Caenorhabditis elegans: one gene and its partner. The protein of the gene in region 1 interacts with the protein of each later gene in a pairwise test. Each region holds a gene or a part of one and is shown in the gene's direction. Other genes may lie near its edges. The genes, in order: C25E10.8 and ubxn-1.

Region 1 (7,762 bases):
TTCTGATTTAATTTCTGATTGGCTTCAGCTATTACTTATGACTTTATTTTACATTTTCCAAAACACGCAGTTTTACCACGACTAACAAATAATTTCAGAAGACAAACCCAGATTGGCTCGGGAAAACCGTCCCTATACTATTCTCAGTACTCATTTAAATTTGAAAGATTACGATCGGCTTTGTTTGAATGGACCAACAGTGAAATGTTACGGAGAGACAGTTTGCAAAGTTGCAAAAGTAGAATGTCTTCCAAATAAAACATGTGATCCGTTGATGGCAATTTGCTCGGATAAATCTTTCGAGGACTATCAAGACAGAAAATTCAATTATACTTCTTCTCGTTAGGCACATTTCCTTTTATTTTTCGTAGTCACGCAATGCATTTTCCCATGTTTTCCTTTTTGATTGTTTTCATTCACTTCAGTTTATAGAAATGAAGTTACTTTTTCTGTTCTGTTATTTTATATTTCTGGCTAAATATTCACATTCACAACTACCAGATGCATGTGACTTTGTAACATGTTACGGTCAATCCATATGTATTCCTGTGCCTATTCCATGTATTAACAAGCCATGTCCTGTTGGCCCCGCTTGCAAGATTTTTGCATGTCCAGAAGGAAGCAATCCAAGAGATCATTCAAATTGTATTTTGCTAAAAAAATCGACACTGTGATGGAATTTTGTGAATTTCATACAGTGTAATAAATCAATTTTCAAATGTCAGAATAACCAAACGATTTCTAACAAACAATGCCAAAGTTTTTATATATAAGCTTGAGGGAATTGTCAAGAAGTTTGTAGACTTGCCAAAACTTGTACTTGAATAATCAAAAAGTTATTATCTGAAAGCTTCTTTTAAAAAATTTTCGACGGAGCAAACTGTTTTGAGAGCAAACTAACCACATAAACGTGTTTAAAATTATCAATTTTCAATAGGAGACTTCTCATAAATGAATTAGATTTAGGGGTATTGGAATTATTGGAACTGGAAAGTACCGTGTTTTATCTATTAGAATCACACCTATTGTTCGACTTTGGCAGCTGATCAGCGTATCTCAATTGTCGTTTGTTCTAAACAAAGATTGTTAGCTGACAAAATATTTATTGTTTGTTTCTTTTACTATTTTTTTCACAATTTGGAAACAACGTTAAAAATTTTTGAACGGCTGTACACAGTTTTTGAGTATTTTTGCGAGTTATTTTTATGAAGTTTCTGGCTTTTGGAGCTATTTTGAATATATTCAAAGCCCATCCCAGCAGTTAATCTTCTGTTCCAACAGTCTTGAGTTTTTGCTTGTATATAATAAAAATACTCAAATGGGCAACTTTCATAATAAGACTTCTCAAAAAAATTGCATAATTTTTGAGATTTCTCATTACCAAAATTTTGCCTAGGGCGCATTTTGAGTCTATTCAAGCAAAAACCGAAAACAGTTACTTCTTTGTTCTTCTCAGGCGTACTTTCGTAGAAAGTAATTTTGTAAATAACATATTTTTAAACTTAAAAAAACAGCACTCAAGAAATATTCCGGTCGGCTGAACTCTCTCCGGTCTCACCAAGTCATTAATCTTTTGACTCATCCTCGGTCTCACGCCTGTCAATTTTATTTCAATGATTGCTTCCTTCTCATAACTTCCCCACTCCGAAAGTTTCTTCAGAAATTCTTTCATCAAAATGGTGAGTGGTTTTTTCTTCATATCTTACAACAAATGAAAGTGTGTTTTTTCAGAATTTTCAATTATTTATTTTCTTTGCTCTTCTTGCTTTTGCTAGATCTGGAGTTCTTAGTGAGTACCAAGGTTTTATTTAAAAATCAAATGACTTATTTTCAGAAAACACAGAAAACATGCCCATTTCTCACACAGACGCACTCTGTGGTTCTATCAAATGTCCTGATAATTATAGGTTTTAATATTTCCAATTATAAATTTTAAAATATTTTTTCAGATGCGAACTGCCAGTCAGTGACTTGGAATGTGGTTCTGAAGACGATTGTTCAGTTGATCCAAAGTGCGTGCCAATCCGTAAGTGTAGTGAAACCAAAAATATCCAGTGGTTCTTGGAAACTTCCAGCAATCCGCAAACCGGAATGTGAGGGCGATGAAGAGCTCAAGGCGTGTGGCTCAGCGTGTGAACCGACATGTGATAACGAGAATCCAGTAAATCAACGTTGAGATTATGTATGATCATAAATTGTTTCTCAGGAATGTGATTTGGTGTGTATGACAAACGTCTGCCAGTGTAAGAAAGGACTCGTCAGAGACTCGGCAACTGGAAAATGTGTGGAGAAAAATAAATGCAGTAAGCTTCAAAATTTATTACTAGACTTTAACCAATTTAACCATCAGTGATTATTCGCTGAAAACCTGCACATAATACTAGTCATAAATTTTTCATTCAGGCAAATGCACTCTTGAATGCTCTGAGAACGAAAAATGTGAACTTGTGGAGCTGACTTGTGAGGAGAAACCATGCCAAATTGTGGACGTATGTGTTGCACAACATACCACTGAATAATATTTTCGATGATTAAAAAAAAAGTTGTTTTTCTCATATTTTAATATTGATGTTTTCATGCTAATGTTTTCAGAAAATTTAAAAATAACAATATTCGAATTTTAACATAATATTTGTATTCCTTTTCAATAGCCAAAAAACTTATGAACTATTCCGTGTTGCAATACAATGAATACAAAAAGTCAGTGTTAACCAAACAATGTTAAGTTGGTAATTATGGATGAAACACATTCGAAATACTCTCCAGTGAGCCAAGCCAAAACTATTTGCACCAAGCGATACGTTTTAAATTGATATCTTCTAGTGAATTGATTCATTAAAATCATTGGTCGGAATGAAATTTCGTAAGGTTCTCGATTTAATGTGTTTCTGATTTTTTCTGAATTTTCGAATACAAATTCTTCGAGATTTTTAAACCTTTGTTGTGAGCCCAATTTACAAAATAAATACGTGACCGGTGAAAGATAAATTTCTCTCCAAAAGATTGAGAAGACCTATAATATCTCCCATTCGATCTTATCATGTTTCTCGTATCATCCCTTCCGAAAAAAAGGGCGGTTCTGCCGTTTTTTAGTGTTCCGGCACAATAAATAGAGCCGTTAAAAAGCAAAACATCGGTTGGTTGCCCTTCGTTATTGTGAAAATGGTGAGTTTTTGAGTTTTTTTTCTAATATAAAAATTATACACTTACAGAGGATACTTGTCATAATCACATGCATCGTTGCTGTTGCTACCGCCACAAGTAAGTAAATATATGTGATTTGGTACTTGAACGGTTACCAGATCATAAATATTTTTTTAGAAACATGTGAAGCCAATGAGGAGCTGGTATCGTGCCATAATACATGTGAACCACAATGTGGATATACCCCTGTAACAATTAACTTAATGTGTCTCCCATTACTGAAAGTTTCAAAATTTAGAAAGCTTGCACGGAGCAATGTATCATGAACACATGTGACTGTAAAGACGGATTTGTTCGTAATTCTCTTGGAAAATGCGTCGAAGTATCTGAATGCACCAAGGAAACTACAAAATGCCCAGAAAATGAGACATTCTTTGGCTGTGGAACAGCTTGTGAAGCAACTTGTGAGAAACCAAATCCAACAGTTTGCACTAAACAATGTATCGTCAATGTCTGCCAATGCTCCAAAGGTTTCGTTCGTCATGGACTCAGATGCATTGATAAGAAAGATTGTCCAAAATAATTTGTTTTTGAGTAAACATTTCCAAGTTCAATAAACCATCAAATATTGGAAAAAATTCAAAAAGAAGTGTGATGAAGGAAACTGGAGTTGTGTGCTATTATTGATAACACAATTGTTACATCAGTATTATTTTTCCTGGCATGAAAAACTAAAAAAAACTCTGTTTGATCTTTTGGATTTATTGGTCATCGTTTTTTTTCAATGTCTATGTCTCTGGCAAACAAAAGGGCGGTTTTGATAGACTAGAGTCCTCTGCGTGATTTAGTGTTCTCGAACAATAAATAGAGTCATTTCAAAAGAAAACATCAGACTGCTGCATTACTTTTCTTTCTGTGATGGTTCGTTCTTTTTTTCATTAGAGCAATGCAAAAACTAATGAGTTTTTAGAGAACTTTTGTCATAATTGCCTGTTTTATTGCTGCTGCGACAGCTGCCAATAGTAAGTTTATTTTTAAATGATTATTGTTAAATATTTCTGGAAAATAAACATTTTACTTTTCAGAGACATGTGGAGCCAACGAGGAAATGGTTGCATGCCATGATCACTGTGAGACACAATGCGGATACACTCCAGTAATCTATAATTTTCCATGTTCTCCTATAATATTTAATTTTCAGAAAGTGTGTCTATCTGCTCAATGTATTGAAAACGCATGCGACTGCAAGAAAGGATTTGTGCGTAATTCACTTGGAAAATGTGTCGATATTTCCACCTGTACCAAGGAAACTAGCAAATGTCCGGAAAATGAGACATTCTTCCGATGCGGAACCGCTTGTGAGCCAACTTGTGAAAAACCAGGACCAAGACCATGTACCAGACAATGCATTGTAAATGTTTGCCAGTGTTCCAGTGGTTTTGTCCGAAACGGTTACAGATGCACCGAACTCAAGGAGTGCCCAAAGTGAACATTTTGTATTCACATTTGTGATAATAAATCGTTGAATTTCATATTCTGAGAAAAACCAACAAATTGCCAAATAGAATAACATTCGGTTACCATGAACTGGAAAAATGGAAACGAATTTATATTTCTTTTTTGGAACAAAACACAAACAATGCCGTGATCGTGATATCATTCCGATGGAAAACTGTGTCCGATCGGAGTACACAAAGTTTTCGTTTTTGGGTACAGATTACCTCACTAGAGTATTGAATTTCATTTGGTCTTATAGGTTCGATGCTACACACAAAACTTTTTTTAGGATTGGCAATTGTTGTTTCATAAACATTCCAAAAGCGACAAAAACAGACAGTTTAAATGTTGGCATCATATATTTTTTTGGAAAAAAAATTCGTTAAAAAATGCGTTAAAAAATTTAACCGTGTGGCAGAGCTGAGCTCATCCCCTACTTGGTTTCTTAATATAGGAACATACACACAAAAAACAAATAAGAAACTTAAGCAAGGAAATTATTCAAAAAAAGATCAATCATTCTTTTGTAATGTCTAGGTTAGAAAATGTCGTAGACGCTTAAAACTTTTTAATTCAAAAATCACGATTCTTTTACAGCAGCGTTTTTTCCAGGCACATTCTGGAAAATGAAAGACTACGCTATTTTACGTGAGCATTTGCAATTGTTTTCTACCTCGTAAACATAAAAATAATCACATTCATAAATACCAATAGGTACGCGTCAGAAAGGTTCTGCCAATTTCTGCACAATATCATTTGTCCCAGAAAAAATTTGGCAAAAGTTATAGGAAATTAATTTTTCCCTTTACTTTATATTTTTGAAACTTTTGACTTTCGACGCCTTTGTTAGTTTTTCTATTTAAACACATGACGTTTTCATGCCGTCATAGTATTTCGCTCATTATTTATAAACACGTTAATTATTGAAATACACATCTGACAATGCTCGAGTCTACAATTTTGAACCTCCGAGTTTGTATTTTGTATCAAATGCATATACTAAGAAATAAGTATGACAAAACATAGTGCGTAACTGAATGTCTCAATATTATAGTTCACTACAATATTACTTCAAAAATGAAACGAATTCAAATATAATATATACGTTTAGGTCTATACTATTTGAAATGCCAAAAAAACGTTTAACTTGACCTTTTCAATGACGCTTCAAATTTCACACCTACCGATGCGCAAAAGGAAATAGATTTTCGATGATGCAAAAAAGTGAGAGGCTCAAATTTTTTTTCGAGACCGCCGTCATTTTTGAATTGAACTATGAAGTTAAATAACTGCGTCTGTTTAAGCCCGTTAACAAAATGTATATTTTTTGTTTCGGGACTTTTGAGTTATACCTTTCTGCCAAAAAAATCGAATCAAAACTTTGATTTTAAGAATGCACTTACTTCGAAGTTAGAAAATTTCATGAGCAGATTTATTCGATATTCTGCGTTACCAAAAAAGTATTACGTACTTTCCATAATTATACATAAAATTTACGTCAATAAGCTTTTTGCACATCTAAATTATTGAGACCCGTTTTGTCTTCCGAACTTGTATCACTTTTCACTGAATTCCGGTACGATTTTACTAAATTACTTTTCAAGGAATCCATTTTATGCTGACATTTAGCAGATCATATATGATTTTTGAACGCAATTCACCTGTCTAGTTTCTAGGTATTTTTTAAACTAAAGTTTTCCCGTTTGACTGGTATATAAGCTCAGTTTTGGAAACGGTTTTATCAATAAAGTTATTTTTACATTTTTTTCAATAAAAAAAGTTGTTCTGTACTGAAAGCTTAACATCACATATTCAGTATTCAGATAATGCAATTTTATTCTAAGCCATACCTTTTATCATTTCTTTACAGTACTTCTGTTCTTAGAATCAAATTCAGTGTTTTCAAAAATACCTTTGGCAAAAGGGAAATAGAATTTAGTTTCTTCTTTAGCCAGTATTGGTGTCTTAATAAATAAATGTTCATTTTCATTATAACTTTGTGACTTTTCAAACAAACATAATGAATGTGTGAAGTTATGAGATGTGGCTGAAACTCATTCTAAATTTCCAATTCTTGAATATCTTTTCCCTCTCGTTTCAAATGAAAACCTTGTCATTATCATTTCATTTCTGGCTGATTTCCATTTATAATTATATATTAAAGAACGTCTTTTTCACTCTTCCGGTAACTACTTGAGACCGCCCAAATATTCGCTCAGAGTTCTCCGTCGTTCACTTTTCAGTCTGTTCATTGTCCAACACGGAAAATCTGCAAATAACAATGGTAAGCCTGCATTACATAGTTAAAGCATGTGTTATTCATCCGAGTATTACTTTTCAGAAGACTTTCTTATTTCTCAGCTTTTACTTAAGCATGGGATCAGCCACACAATGGATCACACCAGGAGCCCCGTTTTTACCAGAATGTGGGAAAAACCAAAAACGAGTGGCTTGTGGTTATGATTGTGAACCACAATGCGGATTTGATCCAGTAAGTTATCTTTTCAATTCTAAAATAGCAGGAACGTTTTGGTTCTGCTTTTTTTCATTTGAGGTATTACTGTCAAAGGTTAGGAATAAAACTGTTTTGCCGTTCCTTTTTTCAGATAGACACTATTATAGATATTATAAAAATTTTGCTTTTATATTGAAAACTTTATGAAGTCATTCAGAAGCGTTTTCTATATATATATACCAACTGAGAATGATGAATGAGAAGCGGCCGTTAAACCACACTATTCTCAATATTGGGTACAGTTTGAAGAAAAGATTATCTTGGAAACGGACAATAACAGTTTTTGAATAATTTTTTTGTAGAATCCAAAATTTTCAAACATCAGACAGTCGAAACGAAAAAATCAGAAAGTCAAACCAAACTAAAACCACGAGAGGAACATTTATTTTCAGACTGTATGCAGTTTGGAGTGTAAACCGAACGCTTGTGTTTGTAAGGATGGCTACGTGAGGAACACAAAAAATGATTGTGTCCGTCGACTTGAATGCACTGCAGAAACATCCAGATGTCCAGAAGATGAAGTATTCCAGACTTGTGGAACACTTTGTCAACCAACTTGTGATGACCCGTACCCAACATCTTGTGAACATGATCGATGCATCCGGA
Region 2 (8,539 bases), on another chromosome or scaffold:
AGCCCATATCTCGGTGAATTCTGGTGCTATCAAAAACTTTTTGTATTTGTATTTGTATTTATTACGATTGAAATCGTGATTAAAAATAAATAGTGAATAGACATGAATAAGTTTTTAACTACAGAGCTATAGAAAATTATGCGCGCAATATTTTACCAGTTGACGGGTTTTTGACAACTGCAAAGAAAATCGAGATATGAGCTTCCAAAGTTAGCTGGGCTACTAGTGATCGATGCACCATGTCTTTGAAAGCCTATACTTCGGTTCATTTCGTAGCTGTCAAAAACTTTTTAACAACACATCTATAGAAATCAACATGCTTAATATTTCGTCAGTTGACAGTTTTTTGATAACTGCAATGAAATCCGAGATATGAGCTTTCAAAGTTGAGAGACCTCACTCGGTTGATGCACCATGTCTTTGACAGTCAATATCTCGGTTTATTTTGTAGCTATCAAAAAATTTTCAACTACAAATCTATAGAAAATTAAATGTTCAACATTTTCTCAGTTGACAGTTTTTTGATAACTGCAATGACATCCGAGATATGAGCTTTCAAAGTTGAGAGACCTCACTCGGTTGATGCACCATGTCTTTGACAGTCAATATCTCGGTTTATTTTGTAGCTATCAAAAAATTTTCAACTACAAATCTATAGAAAATTAAATGTTCAACATTTTCTCAGTTGACAGTTTTTTGATAACTGCAATGACATCCGAGATATAAGCTTTCAAAGTTGAGTAAACCCATTTTGTAGATGCACCATGAGGCTAAATCACTTTTGACCGCCCATATCTCGGTGAATTTTATAGCTATCAAAAACTTATAAATTACAAAACTATAGAAAATCATATGCGCAATATTTTAATATTTTGCTAGTTGACGGGTTTTTGATAACTGCAAAGAAAATTGAGAAATGAGCTTTCAAAGTTGAGTGTGCTACTTGTTATCGATGCACCATGTGCTTCACTATACTTTGGAATTCCATATCTCCGTTCATTTTGTAGTTATAAAAAAATTTTCAACTACAAAATTATAGAAAATTGTATGCTTATTATTCTGTCAGTTGACAATTTTTTAATAACTGCAAAGAAAATCGAGATATGAGCGTCCAAAGTTGAACTCATTATCGATGCAACACGTCTTGTAAACAAACTGCCAAGGCGAAGATGTACAACCCAACGCACCGGCCATTTTCCAGTGACCATCGTAAAAAGCACTATTCCACAAGCATAATAGTCCGCCGCGTAGGCTTCATAAGGCCGATATTTTGTGATTTGCGGGCATGTGTAGGGCTGAGTTCCACAGAATGATCGAGACCGTTCACGTCGTTCAATGTGTCTTGCAAATCCGAAATCGATGAGCTTAATATCCCCATTTCCGTCGATTAGAATATTTTCCAATTTCACATCTCGATGTACTATTCCTCTTTTGTGAAGATAATTGATCGCTTCGATGAGTTGACGGAATAGTGTGGCTGCTAATGGGTGCTCTGGAATAAAATGTTTCAACGTGGCCGAGATTATGCAAAGAGACAGCCAGCGAGCACGTGTTTCACCACACCCTCACCTTTCAAACGTTTCTTCTGGAGAATCCACTCGAGAAGTGTGCCACGTTCATAGTAATCCGAAATAATCACGAATTTCGTCGGCGCTGGTCGTGTGATCGCCAGGCACCGCGCAATATGTGGATGTCGAACCTTCATGGTGATCTCCAATTCGCGCGGGAAGAATTTCTCCGCCACGTTTGCCGGAATCGATTTTCGATCCACGATTTTCACAATCACTTCTCGACGATAAAGCTGCGAATCCACTTTGAAGACAACCGAGTGAGCGGTGGTGGCAATTGGACGAGGTGAGAATGTTCCAGACACGCTTAGTCCAATTCTACAGAAATTCAAAGGTTTTTAGTCTCAAACTAGGCCTGTAAAGTTTTTCTGAGGGAGCAGAAAGCCCATGCGCCTTTAGGCGATTACTGTGTCTTTTGCAATCAATTTCACAATCAGATTTTCTAATTAAATTTCGATTCTCTTTCGAAAAATAACAGGAAACCCGGAAAAATTGCGAAATAATCTGAAAAAGACCGTACTTTCTTAAAGGCGCACTCCTCATTTCACTCAAAGGTCCTGGCACGATTGTTACTTTTTAAAGCGAGCCGTGCGCTTTTAAAGGGGTACGGTGGAAATTTTTGCCGATTTCGCAATTTTTCCTGATTTTTCTTCCGCGGAATTCCAATATTTTGAGAATATTCGTTGGAAAAACGGCGAAAATCAAGAAAAACTCGAATTTTTGACCTCCAGAAACTCACATCGGAATCAACTTTTCTGTAGACGGAGAGAGTGTTGGCGTTGACATGTCATAACAATAAGGAATGTAGTTTTATTCGATAAAAAAAAGGTCTCACGCTTTGGAAAATTCGAGAACAAAGAAAAGTTCATAAAAATATAAAATACACGTGAAATTAAAAAAAATTAATTGCTCTATCACCAATCGTTATTCATATCACCGAAATCTTCCATAAGAGCATCTTCGTCAGCAGCTTCCTTGGCTTCCTGTTCCTCTCGCAGCCGCTCTTCCTCCATCATTCGATACTCTTCCTCGACATTTTCATCAATTTCAGCGGTTTTTTGGTCGGATTTTTCAGAATTTTTAGCTTTTTCAGTCGTGACTTCTGAAATTGAAAGATTTTTTGATTTTCTAATAACAAGTTTGGATAAATTTTGCAACCTTTCTCTGGTAAATCCTTGAATAAATCATCGTCATTATCACTCGCTCCATCATCAATAATTCCATTCTTTTGATTCTCCTGCTCCTCGTGCTCAGAATCCTCGCCAGTCTCTCCAAGCCGGTGCTTGATCATGAAAACTTTAACCTGCCGCCGTGTTCCCAGTGTCTCGACTCGATTCAGAACATCTTCGGTTTTCATCTTCGGAAACATCAAATGTCCCCAGTATGCGTATTTTTTCATCAATTTCTCCAGATTTGCGTACTGAAAAGGGAAAATTATTGTATTTTTTAACTTTCAAATTTACCGGATCATCCTTGGGATTTGGCTTGAAATCTTTTAAAGTCTCCCGAAGAGCTGAAATTCCTTTCGGCCCGGTCAAAATTCGCTCATTCAGTGCTAGGCGTGGATTCTAAAGTTTGAAAAAATTTAAATAAATCATAGAAAATAAGCGTTTTACTGCTAGTCTTTTAGTCCTTAACAATTTCGGCTCCACGACTCGTCTAGTGCCTCCCTCGCCGCTGTTATCTGAACAAAACTTTAATTAAAACCCGATTTCTCACACGAAATTCTAGATACCTTCGATTGCTTCGTCTCCCATAGGGCTTGGCTCTCGATCCAATTCATCATTTTCGAAGAAATCTTCCATTTCGTCCATTTTTCTGGAAAAAAAGTTGATTTTCGATCGAAATTTCTAGGTTTTCGTGCAGAAAACGAAAAAAAATGCAAAAATCTTAGCGTTTAAAAAACTATTTTCAAACAACGCGCCGACAAAATCGGCTGAATCGCGTCGAGACCCGATCGATTAAATGCGTGCGCCTTTAAAGAAAGTCAGCATTCTCTTTGTGTTCTTGGCTAGAAAAAGTGTTCCAGTCCATTTATTATCTGAATTTTCTGATTTAAACGCATTTCTTAAGGTTTTTTATTAATTAAACCACTTTATTGTTAATATATCACTGTTTTGAACAGCTTATTTCGTAAAAAATCCCAAAATTCTTCTGGAAAATGAGAAAAAATCTAGTTTTTCGCCAAATTGTCGCATTTCTTTCCAGAATAACAATGTCGATCGCCCAACAACTCATGGATATGGGCTTCCCAGCCGACAAAGCCGAGGCCGCCGCCGGAAACAACAGAAATCTCGATCAGGCGTTGGATTGGATTGAGAAGGACGGAGCCGGTGTACCAATGGAGACAGATGCTCCAGCTCAAGCTGCTCCAGGAGCCGCTGACAGTGGTGCACCCCCGGTAGCCGCCAGTTTTAAGTGTGATGAGTGAGTTTTTCCCCCCTACGATTCTTATTAATTATTTCTCCAAATTTTTTTTTCCAGCTGCGGAAAGCTTCTCGCCAACGATGATGCTATCATGTTCCACGCTTCGAAGACAAAGCACGAGAATTTCAGCGAAAGCTCGGAAGCTATCAAGCCTCTCACTGCAGAGGAAAAGGCCGCAAAAGTCCTGGAAATCCGAGAAAAAATCAAAGTCCATCAGGCCAAAAAGGCAAAGCTCGAGGCCGAAGAGAATCGTGAGAAGGAGAAAAAGCGTCGTGAGGATGGAAAAGCCATGATCAGCCATAAAGAAGCCGCCAGAGATCGTGAAATTCGGTTAGAAAACTGTTTTCCATTGAATTTAAATAATAATATTCCCAATTTGCAGAGAAGCCGCTCAAGATCGTCGCCGCGAAAAGAACGAAGACGAAATCGCCAGAAAACGAGTTCTCGAGCAAATCCGGCTTGACAAGGAAGCCCGTAAGGCAAAAGCTTCAGGCCAACCGGTTCCAGAGGCAAAGCCTGCTCCGTCTGCAGCTCCAGTTGCTCCGCCAAAAGACTACTCAACTACAACTCTTCAATTCCGACTTCTCGATGGACAAACTGTTAGACAACAGTTTGAAGCTAATGAGCCGGTAATTTAAATATTCTCGACTCCCTTGAATTAATTTTTCAGCTCGCAATGGTCCGCGCCTGGGTCGAAACTAATCACGCAAACGGTGTTCCGTTCACCCTGATGACCCCATTCCCCCGCAAAGTGTTCACCGAGGATGATATGGGAACACCGCTCAAAGTTCTCAGTGAGTTTTGCTCAAAAAGGCCGGATTTCATGATGAAACTTGGAAATTTTCGAAAAAAAAAGTGGACGATTTTCAGCTATTTCGCCAACTTTTCCTGTTCACAGCTGCCGGAAATTTATTTTTATTCGATTTTTGTCCTTCTTCAGCAAAAAGACTCAATTTAACTGAAGAATCTGAAAAAGTGCTCAAAAATGGCCTAGAAGTCACGAATTGTCAATTGTAAGGCAATTTTTGAGCACTTTCGAATTTTTCAGTTAAATTAAGTATTATTTTCAGAAAAATCAACTGATTTTCTATATTTTGACACTAATTTTTAAATATTGGAGCAGTATGGTGCAATTTGACTTTAAATGTGCCTAAATCAACGAAAAAAACGCTAAAATATATAGATTTCTGCTGTAATTGGGCCATTTTTTCGAAAAAAATAAATAAAAATTTGAAAAGTTTCGTTATGAATTTTGGTTTTTTGAGACCAAAAAAATGTTCATTCTCTAATTTTTTTTTAAAATTTTCAGATTTGGTACCATCCGCCAACGTCATTCTCAACCGTGCCGCCTGAATCTTCAAAACTAAATTCCCACAATTTACTGCTAATTTTCTCTCCCCCCTCTCCCGAATGCTGGTATCACTTGTAAACTAAACATGTATATTGAGCATGTATAAAAATTTTCCGATAAACTTTTTTCCCCTCCATATATCTCGAGGCTCTTCATCTCCTCGTGATCTTCGAATTCCCGTCAGTTTTGCTCTCCGAGCTCTTGCCACAGATTTCTGACAAGCTGCAGGACAATCATATCTCCAGAGTGATTGGAAGCATTAGAACCTGGAAGATATTGGAATAAAAACCTGCGTACTGCACAACATATTTGACGCGCAAAATATCTCGCAGCGAAAACTGCAGTAATTCTTTAAATGATTACTGTAGGTCGATTTACGGGCTCAGATTTTCTTTTCGATTTAATTTAAGAGGCCCCACCAAAACGGAATGCAACTCAAAACAGGATACAGGGGCGGAGCCTATTTCGCAACCACCGCATGCTTTTTCCGCAAGCCTCGCACGTTTTTTCTCTTTAAAAAATGCAACAACATCAAGGAAAAAACGTGCGAGGCTTGCGGGAAAAGCATGCGCGGTTGTTGCGAAATAGGCTCCGCCCTTGCATCCTGTTTTGGTGAATCCTGTTTTGAGTTGCATTCTGTTTTGGTGGGGCCTCTAATTTAATATTCTATCGAGAAATACACGAGCCCGTAAATCGACACAAGAGCGCTACAGTAGTCATTTAAAGAATTACTGTAGTTTTCGCTTCGAGATATAATTAAATTCCAAACTTGTTGTTATTTTTCAATGATACAGTAGAAAGTTGCGAGGAAATATTTCGCACTATAAGTCCAGCCATTCTCGTTTTTCCATCAGGTTTTCCTTAATTTTTTCAACAACAAAAGTACAAAAACACAAAAATTCAAAATTCAAGTTTATTGAAATTTCTAGCAGTTCTGATTCTCTCTAGCTAATTTCTTGATCACTTCGATAGCTTCTTAAAATGTGCCAACCCCAAAAACTCTGGCTGGATCTCGCAAATCTGATGGCAGTTCATCCATGTTTCCCGTTGGCATGATAACTCTCAGATTTCTTGCAAATGCTGCACGCGTTCTTACCACGATATTGCCAACCTGAAAATATGCTCGGGTTGTACTAGTTTTTCAAACACATGAATGAAAATCTGTACTATTTAAAAGTGTTCTAAACTTCTAGCTACGAAATTAAAAACAAAAAGTTGAAGAAACACAGACACCTCGAGACCCAAAGTGGAGGGAAGAAACGGTTTGTATCGATTTACAATTTTTTACTCTTCCCCCGACCTGCCTCTTGGGTCCCGGGATGTCTATCTCTCTACAATTGACTACACTCTCTGTATGGGCAATAGTGGAGAAAAGCGTTTTCATAATTTTTAACGCCCTTCATTTTTTTAAAATGTACTTCTTTAAGGCTACTTCTGAAAGAAATCGGAAAAATATTCAAATAGTCGATTTCCGAGAAATAATGAGAGACGTAGAAATGCATAGTGTGCATGTGTGAGAGATCGTTGCAAACGAAGAGGTAGAAGATTTTTCTGCTGTCATTTCAGGGTTGCGTGCATAATTATCACTCAAATGTAGGAATGAGGTGAATAAAAAAGGTCAAAATTCGTAATTTTTTTCGCTGCATATCAATTTTTTCAAATTTTAGAAACTCGTGTTATCAAGAATAATTTTTCATTCAGAAGTACATATGGTATAATCTCTTGCAAACTCCTAAAAAAAAGTTTGTTTGGTTTTCTTGAAACCAAAAAAATAAAATAAATAAAAACGAAAAAAGTTGTTGCACTGAAATTCTGTCACAAGAAAAATTTAACCGGAAGTTGTTGTCTGATTTTGTGGGTTAAGATCTACGACTGTGGTGAGTTTCATAACATTTAGCCTGGTAGTTTTTTGTTACAACACCTTTTTTTTGGTAGGTATTTGTTGGTTTTCGAAAGACCCAGCCCAGGGCCTGATTAGGGTAGACCGAGCTCAAACCGTCTTTCATGTAACCTCCCAATGACCAGCAAAAAATATATGTCTCCTCCTCACTCACAACAATCTCTTACTCACGCACACTGCGCTTCTACGTCTCTCCCTATTTCTCCGAAGGTTAAACTGCCTTTGTCAGTACGGATTTAGTTCTGAAGGATACAACACCGACTAATCATAACTGTGTCAAACATGTTAACTTTTCGAATTTTTTTTCACTTCTTTCACTTATTTTTGCAAAACATTATTTTGAAACATTAGCTCTGTTTGAGATGAGATTTTGAGCTATTATAAAAATATGCTATGTCGGGTCATTTTTATCTTATGATTTTTTTTTCAAAACTGGGTTGCTCTTCCCTTTGTCTATGATATTGTTATTTTTTAATTTTACTAGCTACAATTGAAAAAAACAATCAAGCAATAGAAAACTCATTCCATCGCGTTATTCAAGTAGTGTCGTGAAACTAAAAAGTGTATTTCAATACACTTTTTTCCTTATTCAAGTAACAATAAAAGCATGTATCTCAATAAAGTTTGTGGCGTCATTTCGCAAAATTTTCCCACGTTTCTCGACATTTTTCCACAGTTGTTTTATCAGAAATTTTTGGTTGTCGGATAATGTCGAGAAATGCAGAGAAATGCCGCGAAATTACGTCACAAACTGCATTTAAATACATGTTTTTGAAGTTACTTGAATAAGGCAAAAGAGGTATTGAAATGCACTTTCTAATTTTACGACACTACTTGAATAACCCCTATGATTTACTATATTTAAAGCGCTTATTCCGTTTGTCCATAGTTTGTAGTTTATGTAGTCTTTGTAGTCTGTGAAGTTTTGGCTTCTGGATAGTGAGTTGGGGTAAGTGTAGGGATATAGTAGTACTGTAAGATTACGGTAGTTTCAGAAAAGTAGTTTTCAGCCCCAGAAATCGGGGGCCGCGCTGGAGGTGCGGTCCACGGTTCGTTATGATATAAAGGGAAACTGCGAAAAAATTCGAGGAAGTTCGAGAAAATTTGAATGAAAAACGCAAAAAGTTCACGTGGGGGCGGAGCCTATTTTCAGAACATATTTTCGGTTTGCTATTTACAGTTTCAAGGTCTATAAAAATTTACTTTGATTTGACAAATTCCAGTTTGAGTACAGATTATCGTTTTATCATCAATTTAACAAACAGTCTGACTGAAAAACTTTCTCAATTGCAG

What was found.
Region 2: the proteins of C25E10.8 (region 1) and ubxn-1 interact in a two-hybrid assay, tested with the Caenorhabditis elegans proteins (one large-scale study listed by BioGRID).

The regions. Positions count from the first base shown.
Region 1 is NC_003283.11:9,050,233-9,057,994, reverse strand, and holds C25E10.8 (TIL domain-containing protein), read left to right. Parts: upstream 1-3,925; 5' UTR 3,926-4,062; coding exon 4,063-4,065; intron 4,066-4,114; coding exon 4,115-4,166; intron 4,167-4,229; coding exon 4,230-4,300; intron 4,301-4,345; coding exon 4,346-4,633; 3' UTR 4,634-4,733; downstream 4,734-7,762. Other genes in the region: C25E10.11 (INSulin related), read left to right, coding at 99-346; C25E10.10 (TIL domain-containing protein), read left to right, coding at 1,677-1,679, 1,732-1,789, 1,835-1,907, 1,950-2,026, 2,076-2,161, 2,207-2,303, 2,404-2,519; Serine protease inhibitor swm-1, read left to right, coding at 3,163-3,165, 3,213-3,261, 3,322-3,392, 3,443-3,727; spi-3 (TIL domain-containing protein), read left to right, coding at 6,923-6,925, 6,983-7,132, 7,549-7,762.
Region 2 is NC_003279.8:2,430,228-2,438,766, forward strand, and holds ubxn-1 (UBX domain-containing protein 1), read left to right. Parts: upstream 1-3,774; 5' UTR 3,775-3,783; coding exon 3,784-3,995; intron 3,996-4,052; coding exon 4,053-4,325; intron 4,326-4,377; coding exon 4,378-4,624; intron 4,625-4,665; coding exon 4,666-4,789; intron 4,790-5,304; coding exon 5,305-5,348; 3' UTR 5,349-5,464; downstream 5,465-8,539. Other genes in the region: F23C8.8 (Protein kinase domain-containing protein), read right to left, coding at 1,188-1,492, 1,570-1,886, 2,308-2,354; tipn-1 (Protein TIPIN homolog), read right to left, coding at 2,483-2,670, 2,727-2,988, 3,032-3,136, 3,185-3,252, 3,304-3,382; F23C8.14 (Lon proteolytic domain-containing protein), read right to left, coding at 6,323-6,457, 6,765-6,857. UniProt on the Caenorhabditis elegans protein: Ubiquitin-binding protein which acts as an adapter for ATPase cdc-48.1 and/or cdc-48.2, conferring substrate specificity.